Ovis aries: one gene and its partner. The protein of the gene in region 1 binds, or shares a complex with, the protein of each later gene. Links are inferred from orthologs where the notes say so. Each region holds a gene or a part of one and is shown on either strand. Other genes may lie near its edges.

Region 1 (4,410 bases):
GTGCCGATGTCCATGCCAAAGACAAAGGGTATGTGTTAGAATGTCACTGTGTGGAATTCATTTCCTTGATACTTTAAAAAAAAATTTTTTTTTTTCATGATAGATTTTTTTCCCCTTGTTAAAAAAGTAATTTTTTTTTTAAAAGCTTAAAGCATAATGCTTAAAACTTTGTTGTTTTATAGTAGCTAAGTCATGTCCAACTCTTTACAACCCCATGGACTGTAGGCTTCTCTGTCCATGCGATTTCCCAGGCAGAAATACTGGAGTGGGTTGCAGTTTCCTTCTCTAATGCATCTTCTCCAGCCCATGCATCAAACCCATATCTCCTAAAGTATCAGGCAGATATATTTTTACTACTGAGCCACCTGGGAATCCCCCCAAATTAAAACTTTATGAAAATGTATAGAAAGTGAAAAGTCCCTCTCATTCCACCTCCTAGAGATTACAACATCAAAATTTTGTTGTAATTGTGAGGAGTTTTGAAGCACATGTGTACCAGTGTGTGTGCTGTTGTGATGGGGCTTGTTTTTAACATAAATGAAGATGTCATCCCGCAGTCTGCTTTACAGTTTGCCTTTTTTATAATAGTATATCTTGAATGTCTTTCTGTATCAGTACTAAGCAGTTCATTTCATCCTTTTAATGCCTATATATACTATTTTTTTGTATTTTGTAAATAAGTTTATATAGTTTATTGTTCATCCCTCCTTTTGCTGTTAAATCTTTTCTCCTCCAAAAAGAGTCATCCATGTTAGTAGAAACATTTCATTTTTACTAATTCAGATAGTCTCTATTTTTGTATTGGCTTATGAAACTATTTCAGTTTATCTAGACAGGGTTTAAAGCAGACACAAAAGACATCTAGAAAAGCACGAAGGAAGTTTTAACTGAAATGAGCTTCCATATCCTGAGTTAATTTCATATCATCTCAAAATATAAATAAGCACCTTCCTGTGCAGTTACATTGCTAACAAATAAACCACACAACTTAGACTTCAGTTGGGCTTCCTTGGTTGCCCAGACAGTAAAGAATCTGCCTGCAGTGCAAGAGACAAGGTTCAGCCCCTGGGTCGAGAAGATCCACTGGAGAAGGGAATGGCAACTCACTCTAGTATTCTGGCCTAGAGAATTCCACGGACAGAAAAGGACTGCAGTCCTTGGGATCACAAAGAGTCGGACCTGACTGAGCAACTACCATTTTCACTTTCACTAGATTTCAGTTAACCATTTTGCATTTATTTCTCTTTTAAAAGAAAGACGTCAGACATGAACATTTGATATTAATCACTATCTCTTTCAAAGTATTATGGTTCGTTAGAGAGGAGCCAACATTTGTTTCTATTGCCCCATTTTAGCACTTAGTATTTTTGGTCTCAAAACATTAAAAACAAAAACAAAGAAACCGGATCTCTCTAAGCAAAAAGGTCCTAACTTGATACCTTGTGTCTGCTATGTACTAAGTGCAACTTAAATTTATCTTTTGAGGCACCCTCCTTTTTTATGGGGACACTTTTTGTCCTTTTAGAAGGCCAGCTGCCTTGTAATCAGAACTTAAACGAGTCATCACAGAATAGTTTGTACATCTGACTAGAGTTCTTGGTTGATGTCATTATTTTCATTACTGAATACTGACTATCTTCAAGATCAAAGAATTATTTTTCTTAAGGGAGTGTTCAATAATAGTCAAATGCCATAGAGAATTATTTTATTATATGTATCATTTTAACACACCGCTTTATTGTATGTCTTTAAAATAATTTTCTTTGGTTTAGTGGTTTGGTGCCCCTTCATAATGCTTGTTCATATGGACACTACGAAGTAGCTGAGCTCTTGGTAAGACATGGGGCTTCCGTCAATGTGGCGGACTTATGGAAATTTACCCCTCTACATGAAGCAGCAGCTAAAGGAAAATATGAAATCTGCAAGCTCCTTTTAAAAGTATGTACTTTTAAAAATTATAAAATATAAGGTAATTATAGTTATTATTTGGTTAGGATGTAAAATGACATCAAGGTAAATTATTCTGTAATACAGTGCAGTAAGTGCTGTAGAGACTGCTTCCGTTTTCTGTTCTAGGGGGATGTTTAAGTGTGATATCATGATTCTTACGTAGCTTTGAGTAGTGGCTGAAGTGCCTTTCTGAACTGATTTGATTATGTTGAGTTCATCACAATTCAACAAGGTAGGTTTTGGAAAGAGTTGAATTAGCTTGCATTACTTATCTGTAACTGACAATTAATATCAGAAGATATTTATATAAGAAGAAATGTGTTTTTCCATCAAGTTTGATTTTTTTTCCTCGCTAGCTATTTTTATTATTGTTAACAAACTCACCTCTAACTATTAAGCATTAATTAAACATTAAAAGATAGAAAATTAAAAGATGTGACAAATGACTGGACATGTATTTATATCATTTCCTCTCTCTCTTTTTTAAACTAGAGAGAAACTTGTCTTAGTTAAATATAAAATTCTTCTCCTACCACTTTTATGGGATCAGATGTGTTCATATGAGTTTTAAGAATAACACTGTAGTTGATACTAATTTTTATTGTCCCTGGTTAAGTAAGAAATAACTTCTAGGTCACTGTGAATTCACTGTCTGGGTTGGTTATTCCAAATTTCCCCAGTGAGCCAATAACATCTGTGTCAGGTCTGTAAATAAAGATTCTTGACTTTTAATTACTTTATTTCATAAGTATAAATGATTAAACTTATAAAATCAAGTTAATTGTTAATATATTTCTATCTAATTTCACCTTAGGTGCTCAGACTTAAAACAAAAATATTTTTAAATTACCAAACTTTCTTTTTACTGATTCCATTTGGAATTGAGTATTAATACTTTTTCCACCTGTGTCTTCCTCTTCTCATTTCATCAGCACTGAATATCTTTACATATTAATAATCAAGATTTGATTAACATTTCTAGCCAGGCCATCATTAAAAGGAAAAGTGGTTTCCAAAGACAGCATAGAGTCTGAGACAGTATATGCTACAGAAGTGAAAGACATTTGACACCTTTCCCTCTCACCATCACAGGTCATCCTGAGGCATGGGGCTTTGGATGGGAAGTAGTTGGAAAGCTGATCCCAGTTTGTTGCTAAGTAGGAGATTTGCAAGAAAAACCAAATGTTGCCTCTGTTTTTCACAATGCACACAGAATAGGTATTTTTCTTTGGAGGAGTGAAAGTGAAGTTAAAAATAAAGAAACAAAACGTATTAAAGATGCTACAGAAAACACAAACACCATTTGGTTATTTTGTAGCATGGAGCAGATCCCACTAAAAAGAACAGAGACGGAAATACACCTTTAGATTTGGTAAAAGAAGGAGACACAGATATCCAGGACTTGCTGAGAGGAGATGCTGCTTTGTTGGATGCTGCCAAGAAGGGCTGCCTGGCAAGAGTGCAAAAGCTCTGTACCCCAGAGAATATCAACTGCAGAGACACCCAGGGCAGAAACTCCACCCCTCTGCACCTGGCCGGTAAGCATCACCAGCACTTCCAAGGTTCATGTCCTTTCTTGGATACAGTTCATAAGAAGAGGAAAGAAATGCTGATCAGGAAGAGTGCTGCTACTCAGTAAAATGCTTCACTGACATAATTTTATATAACTTATTATAAATCTTATAAATTTTTTTATTCTTAATCATTCTTACCTAGTTTTTAAAACAGAAAGTATTAAAAACCCAGTATTTTCTGATCATTATCATTTATATACATTTTTTTTTCCTTTTAAGCTGACATGTTTGCTTTTTTTTCATTCTAACAGCAGGCTACAATAACCTGGAAGTAGCGGAGTATCTTCTAGAGCACGGAGCAGATGTTAATGCCCAAGACAAAGGTGGTTTAATACCTCTTCACAATGCGGCATCCTATGGGGTGAGCGTGCTAAAGTCCAGAAAAGTTCACTGATACTTACTACTTGGTTAAATACATACCATACATGAAGTAACCAACAGATACCTAACCAACAGCATAATTTAGTACAATTTTAATCTTACTATTTAAAGTGTTTCTAGCCTTAGCCTTCTCAGTTAGGCTTAACTGTCTTTTGCCCAAAGACCGTATATTTTTCAGCTTTTTGGACTCTTCACATTATGTAGTACAATAATAGGTATTTAATGGCTGCTCAGCTAATATTTATTGATACAGATAATAAATCTTAACTGTACCTTATGTAGATTTTATAAACTCTGAAAGCCAGCAGGCTACTCTGTAAGCATGAAAATTATGCTTGCTTATGTTTATCATCAGCATCTTAGAAATATTCAAGTAAATGGTTGAGTGATTGCTATATATGGTTTCATACAGTTCAGATAACTAGCTGAAACCCCACTTACTAGCGGAAACCCCACTGTGAAAGTCGAAATTTATTCTTTCAAAGCCCTGTAACTGTAATCGTCG
Region 2 (5,163 bases), on another chromosome or scaffold:
ACTTCTATGCAGAGTACATCATGAAATGCTGGGCTGGATGAAGCATGGGCTGGAATCAAGACTGCTGGGAGAAATATCAATAACCTCAGATATGCAGATGACACCACTCTTATGCCAGAAAGTGAAGAAGAACTAAAAAGCCTCTTGATGAAAATGAAAAGGAGAGTGAAAAAGTTGGCTTAAAGCTCAACATTCAGAAAACGAAGATCATGGCATCTGGTCCCATTACTTCATGGCAAATAGATAGGGAAACAGTGGCTGACTTTATTTTTTGGTACTCCAAAATCACTGCAGATGGTGATTGCAGCCATGAAATTAAAAGATGCTTACTCCTTGGAAGGAAAGTTATGACCAACCTAGACAGCATATTCAAAAGCAGAGACATTACTTTGCCAACAAAGGTCCGTCTAGTCAAGGCTATGGTTTTTCCAGGGGTCATGTATGGATGTGAGAGTTGGACTGTGAAGAAAGCTGAGCGCCAAAAATTGATGCTTTTAAACTGTGGTATTGGAGAAGACTCCTGAGAGTCCCTTGGACTGCAAGGAGATCCAACCAGTCCATCCTAAAGGAGATCAGCCCTGGGTGTTCACTGGAAGGACTGATGTTAAGCTGAAACTCCAAAACTTTGGCCAGCTGATGCAAACAGCTGACTCCTTTGAAAAGACCCTGATGTTGGGAAAGATTGAAGGCAGGAGAAGGGGAGGACAGAGGATGAGATGGTTGGATGACATCACCGATCAATGGACATGAGTTTGAGTAACTTTAGGAGTTGGTGATGGACAGGGAAGCCTGATGTGCTGCAGTTCGTGGGGTTACAGAGTCGGACACGACAGAATGACTGAATTAAACTGAACTGAACCACGGATTATTCCTTCTCTCGCAGCACACTGCATCTTCACATCCTATTTGTGTCCCACCCCCAGATTAGCTTGTGAAATTCAAGATATTTTTGAGGTTATAGACTGCTTTCTCAAAATTAGGTTTTCCTTACTATTCCATATATAATCAAGTATTTCAAGAAGGGTGGTTAATTGATAATTGTTTTGCAACTGGGGTATCCTGTACCATCTAGGCAGTGATATTTTTGTAACACTGTCTGTTGAATAGACCGTATTTCATTTACGTCAAACCTTAGGAAAATAAACTTTTATTTCCTAAGAGCCTGCCAGTGACTGGCACATGTTTGAAAAGACGAAGTTGACAGAGACTATCAATATTAACTTATGTAATGATTAGTTGCAGAGAAAAGTACATTCCAGCGAAAGGCCTTCTGACAGCCTTTTGCTTAAATCACAATTGACTTTTCTCTTCGGGCAAGTTTACTGCTTGTGAAATTCCTAGAAAGGGCTGGGGAGAGGACTCAGAAAGACCAAGGATTCGGGATCCAAAGCGGTTTGGGAACGTTCAGGGACCTAGAGGAAAATGTTTCTCTTAGAGGGATATGGAAATCTGACAAATTCTGGGCATGAAGAGGCACGATGCCCTCCGGCCTTGGCTTGAAGCGTCGCGGAGCCGCGGGTAGGCGTCGCGCAACCTGCCGCAGGGGCGGCTCCGAGGCCGGGCCCGCGTGGCGCTCGTTCGCCCCACCCCGCGGGACTCCAGGACGGGGGGCGGGGCTCCGGAGCGGCCCCGCCTCCCGTCACACCGACCCGCGGGTCACAATGTAGGGTTAGGGCGGCCTGTGGGCGGGGCTCGGCGGGGGAGGAGCCGCCAGGCGGGGGCGGTGACGGCGGTAGAGGGAAGGGAGGGGAGGGGAGGGGAGGGGGCGGTAGAGGGAGGGGAGGGGAGGGGACAGGAGAGGAGGGAGGGGAGGGGAGGGGAGGGGAGGAGGAGTTGCGGTGGGAGGAGGACAGCGCCATTCTGGCCGGCCGCTCCCTCTGTCCCCTTTCCCTTCCCCGCAGTGGCCCGCGAGCCGCCAGCGGAGGAGCGCGCGCGCGCGCGTGACGCGTCCGGGCTTGCTAGCGCCCTCCCGCCCCCCAGCGTCCACCGCCCGCTCATGGCCCGGGCCGCGGCCGCCGAGCCGCGCTGAGGCGGGCCGCGCGGAGTCGTGGGGCCGCCGCCGTGGCCCTCGGTGTCCGCGCCGCGCCGCCAGCCCGTGGTGCCCGCGCACGCCGGCCGTCGTCGCCTTCGCGCCTGGCTGGCGGGGGCGCTGTCCTCGCCGGCCGTCCGCGCCGCTCCCTGGGGCTCGGCGGAGCGTGGCAGTCAGGGCCAGCGGAGGCTCGGGGAGCCGGACGCCGGCGCGGCGGGGGCCATGACCGTGGAGCAGAACGTGCTGCAGCAGAGCGCGGCGCAGAAGGTGAGGAGACCCGGCCCCGCTCCTCCGCCCGAGGTGCCGCCCTCCCCCGCCGCGGCCGGGACCTCCCCGCCGCCCGGGCCTCCGCGGCCCCAGCTTTCCCCGCGCCGCCGTCTCCCGCCCCTGCCCGCTTTGGGGGCGTCGCTCCCAGTTCCGGGCTGCGTGTGGAAAGCGGGGTGTAGTTAGCGGGTTTCAGTCCACTTCCTTCTTGCCAATTGTTTTCCTGTAACCGACGGTGATGGGTGTTTGTTGAGCGCGACCTTACATTCCTACACTCCTCTGTATGACTTCCTAATTAAACTTTATCTTCCTCGTCTTTTTTTTTTTTTTTTTTTAAGAAAAAGAAATAGCCGGTTGTCATCCCTTGTGAACCCAGTTTTCTTTCCAAGACAGGAGCCTTCCAGATCTGCTATTTTGCAAAAGAGTCTCCACCGCAATTGAATTGCCAGGTACAGGAACCAGGTGGACTCAATGTAAAAGTAGAGGATTTGGTTGGTTCCTTTTTCTTTTTGTTTTTTTTTTTTCCTTTTTTTTAAAAATATAGAAACTGTCCCTTAAGAAGAGACCTTTTCGGCCATGCTTATTTCAGGTATATTTTGTCCCCTAAGTTTGACCTTGTTCCATCCTCACCCTTTACTCTTGCCTGGGTCACACATTAAAGAGGTTGTTCCCTTAAAAAAAAAAATCTGGGTTTGTGAAGCTTCAAATCTTTTCCGTTAAGTATAGTTAAGTGAGAGATGCTACTTTTCCCCCTTCGATTTTGCTTTCGGAATCTGAAGTGCACTCTCACGGGTTGCACCATATCCTGGAGAGTCGTTGGCTATGGCTTAATTTTTGGGGAGGGGGTTATTGGTGTGAAAAACATTTTGGGCAAAAGGAAAACCATTACTTTACTCGTCTTGAAATTATGGTGGTGACCACGGTTTACTGTGAAAAGCTGGTAGAACTATTCGATTTTTCTGGGAGAGTAGTGTGAATGCCCCACCCTGTGGTGTTGATAATCAGTAGTTTTCTTGGCATCATTGTATCCTACCTGTGCTTGATTTTAAAATAAGGCCTACTGTCGTAAAATGGACTATGTATACTCACAGCGTGCTAAGTTTTTGCTTTGAGATATTTTTAGAATTTTATGGTAGTACTTGAAGTAATTGAAGATGCTCAAGAATTTTGGAAAGCGAGCATACTGCATTGTTATTTTAGGCACTTTGGGGAAGTTTTCTTGGAACTCTTGTGTGTTAGTTAATTGTTATTGGTTAATTTGGGCATCCCAGGTGGCTCGGTGATAAAGAATCTGTCTGCAATGCAGAAGACTCTGGTTCGATCCCTGGGTTGGGAAGATCCTTTGGAGAAGGAAATGGCAACCCACTCCAGTATCTTTGCCTGGGAACTCGCATGGACAGAGGGGCCTGAGGGGGTTTCTGGTGTGGCATGGGGCCATGGGGTGGCAAAGAGTAGGACGCCACTTAGCAACTAAAGAGTGACTGGGTTGATTGAGAAGATGTTGCAGACTGCGGTTTATTTGCAGTGAAATAATTCTAGTTTTAATAATGGGAGCTTAGAACAGTTTATCTCCTAATCCCCTTCATTCTGTTTTGAATACTTTGAACTTTAGTTTTTGATGTTGAGTATGTGACAAAGTGTTAATACTTAGAGGAGGATCTTGTGGCCATAGTATACTGAGCAATATTTAGTAGGCTTGGTGTCCTTCCGGTTTATAGTTCTCTTCAATGTTAAGTGTTAAAGCCTATTTTTTTTTTTCAAAGTGGGAAATGTAGCTCATGGTTTTCACATGTCAGATTTGAACAATGGCAAAAAAATTTGTGAGTTTTTAAAATTGATTTTTGACTAATGTACTTAGATAATGCAGATCTGCCCATTTCAGAGGTTTATGCATAAATTTGAATCAAGAATAAATTACTAAAAGTGATCTTAGCCATCAAGTCCAGTTTCTTAGTTTAATGAGTCCCCTCCTTATGCAAAGGGAGTAGTTGTTAGTCTAAAATACTACCATTTTGACACTGTTTTTACTATGTGTCATATCATCTCGTTGAGATTGTGGACATTTTTTAGAGCAATACAGTCGCATTTATTTTTATACTTCTATTATGGTGTTTATGTATTAAAGAAACATTTAATGTGTTTGCTTGCCATATGAATATGCTGTTCTTTGTTACTCATGTTAGTACTATTTTCAAATATTCATACAGGTTCAAATACTTTAAACCATCTACTTCAAATGAACTGACATTAAAATCCACCAAGGTAGTAACTAGGAAGTAGACTTCAAGCTAGTAACTAGGAAGTGAACTACTTTAGAAGAATCAAAAGTGAAACTCTTTGTTTTTAAAATGGAAACTATGAATTATTAGTAAAATGAGAAGTGTCTAGTGCATACTGCATAACCAAAATTTCAGCCTATTTTCTGCTCTTCTGTAAAAACTTGTTGTATGCTCACGTGTAATATCAGCTTTATGTCTGTTCATTGGAACAGTTTCTTATTTTGTGAGATTGTTTTTTTTTTCTTCCCAAAGGATGTATAATTATAATTAAAAAAAAAAAAAGTAGCACAACACTCAGGTCTTTTTTTTTTTCAAGTAACACAAAACTTACAGGTCTTCTGTTTACCTACAGAGTGGCTTGTCACAATGTAACATAAGGCAAGGGGTGTCTTTTCCTTTGCCTCTGATGTGTTCTTTGCTTGATCGCTCAAGTTTGGCCCTGGCAGGGAGTTGTGAGATTGAGTGAAACTGCAAAGAGCCATTTTCCTGAGGTTTAAGATGATACAGGTGAATTGGAGTTGGTATCAGATTAGCTAAGGTTAAGTCCTGTCATAATTTTGGTCTTGAATGTGTATATTCGGCCTTTCTGCT

What was found. The genes of interacting proteins can lie anywhere in the genome.
Region 2: the proteins of TNKS (region 1) and USP25 are in contact, whole or in part, in a crystal structure (PDB 5GP7), measured with the Homo sapiens proteins. The link is inferred for Ovis aries from reciprocal best matches to the Homo sapiens genes TNKS and USP25. Residues at the interface, in NP_003738.2 of Homo sapiens: Arg836, Ser838, His842, Leu843, Gly846, Tyr847, Leu871, Asn876, Ser879, Tyr880, His882, Asp900, Trp902, Phe904, Glu909, Gln912, Lys913, Gln934, Glu935; in NP_037528.3 of Homo sapiens: Ser1046, Ser1048, Arg1049, Thr1050, Pro1051, Ala1052, Asp1053, Gly1054, Arg1055.

The regions. Positions count from the first base shown.
Region 1 is NC_056079.1:24,772,047-24,776,456, forward strand, and holds part of TNKS (poly [ADP-ribose] polymerase tankyrase-1), read left to right. Parts: coding exon 1-28; intron 29-1,772; coding exon 1,773-1,938; intron 1,939-3,268; coding exon 3,269-3,488; intron 3,489-3,775; coding exon 3,776-3,885; intron 3,886-4,410.
Region 2 is NC_056054.1:142,137,897-142,143,059, reverse strand, and holds the start of USP25 (ubiquitin carboxyl-terminal hydrolase 25), read left to right. Parts: upstream 1-1,899; 5' UTR 1,900-2,251; coding exon 2,252-2,296; intron 2,297-2,503; exon of another isoform or gene 2,504-2,742; intron 2,743-5,163. UniProt on the Homo sapiens protein: Deubiquitinating enzyme that hydrolyzes ubiquitin moieties conjugated to substrates and thus, functions in various biological processes including inflammation and immune response.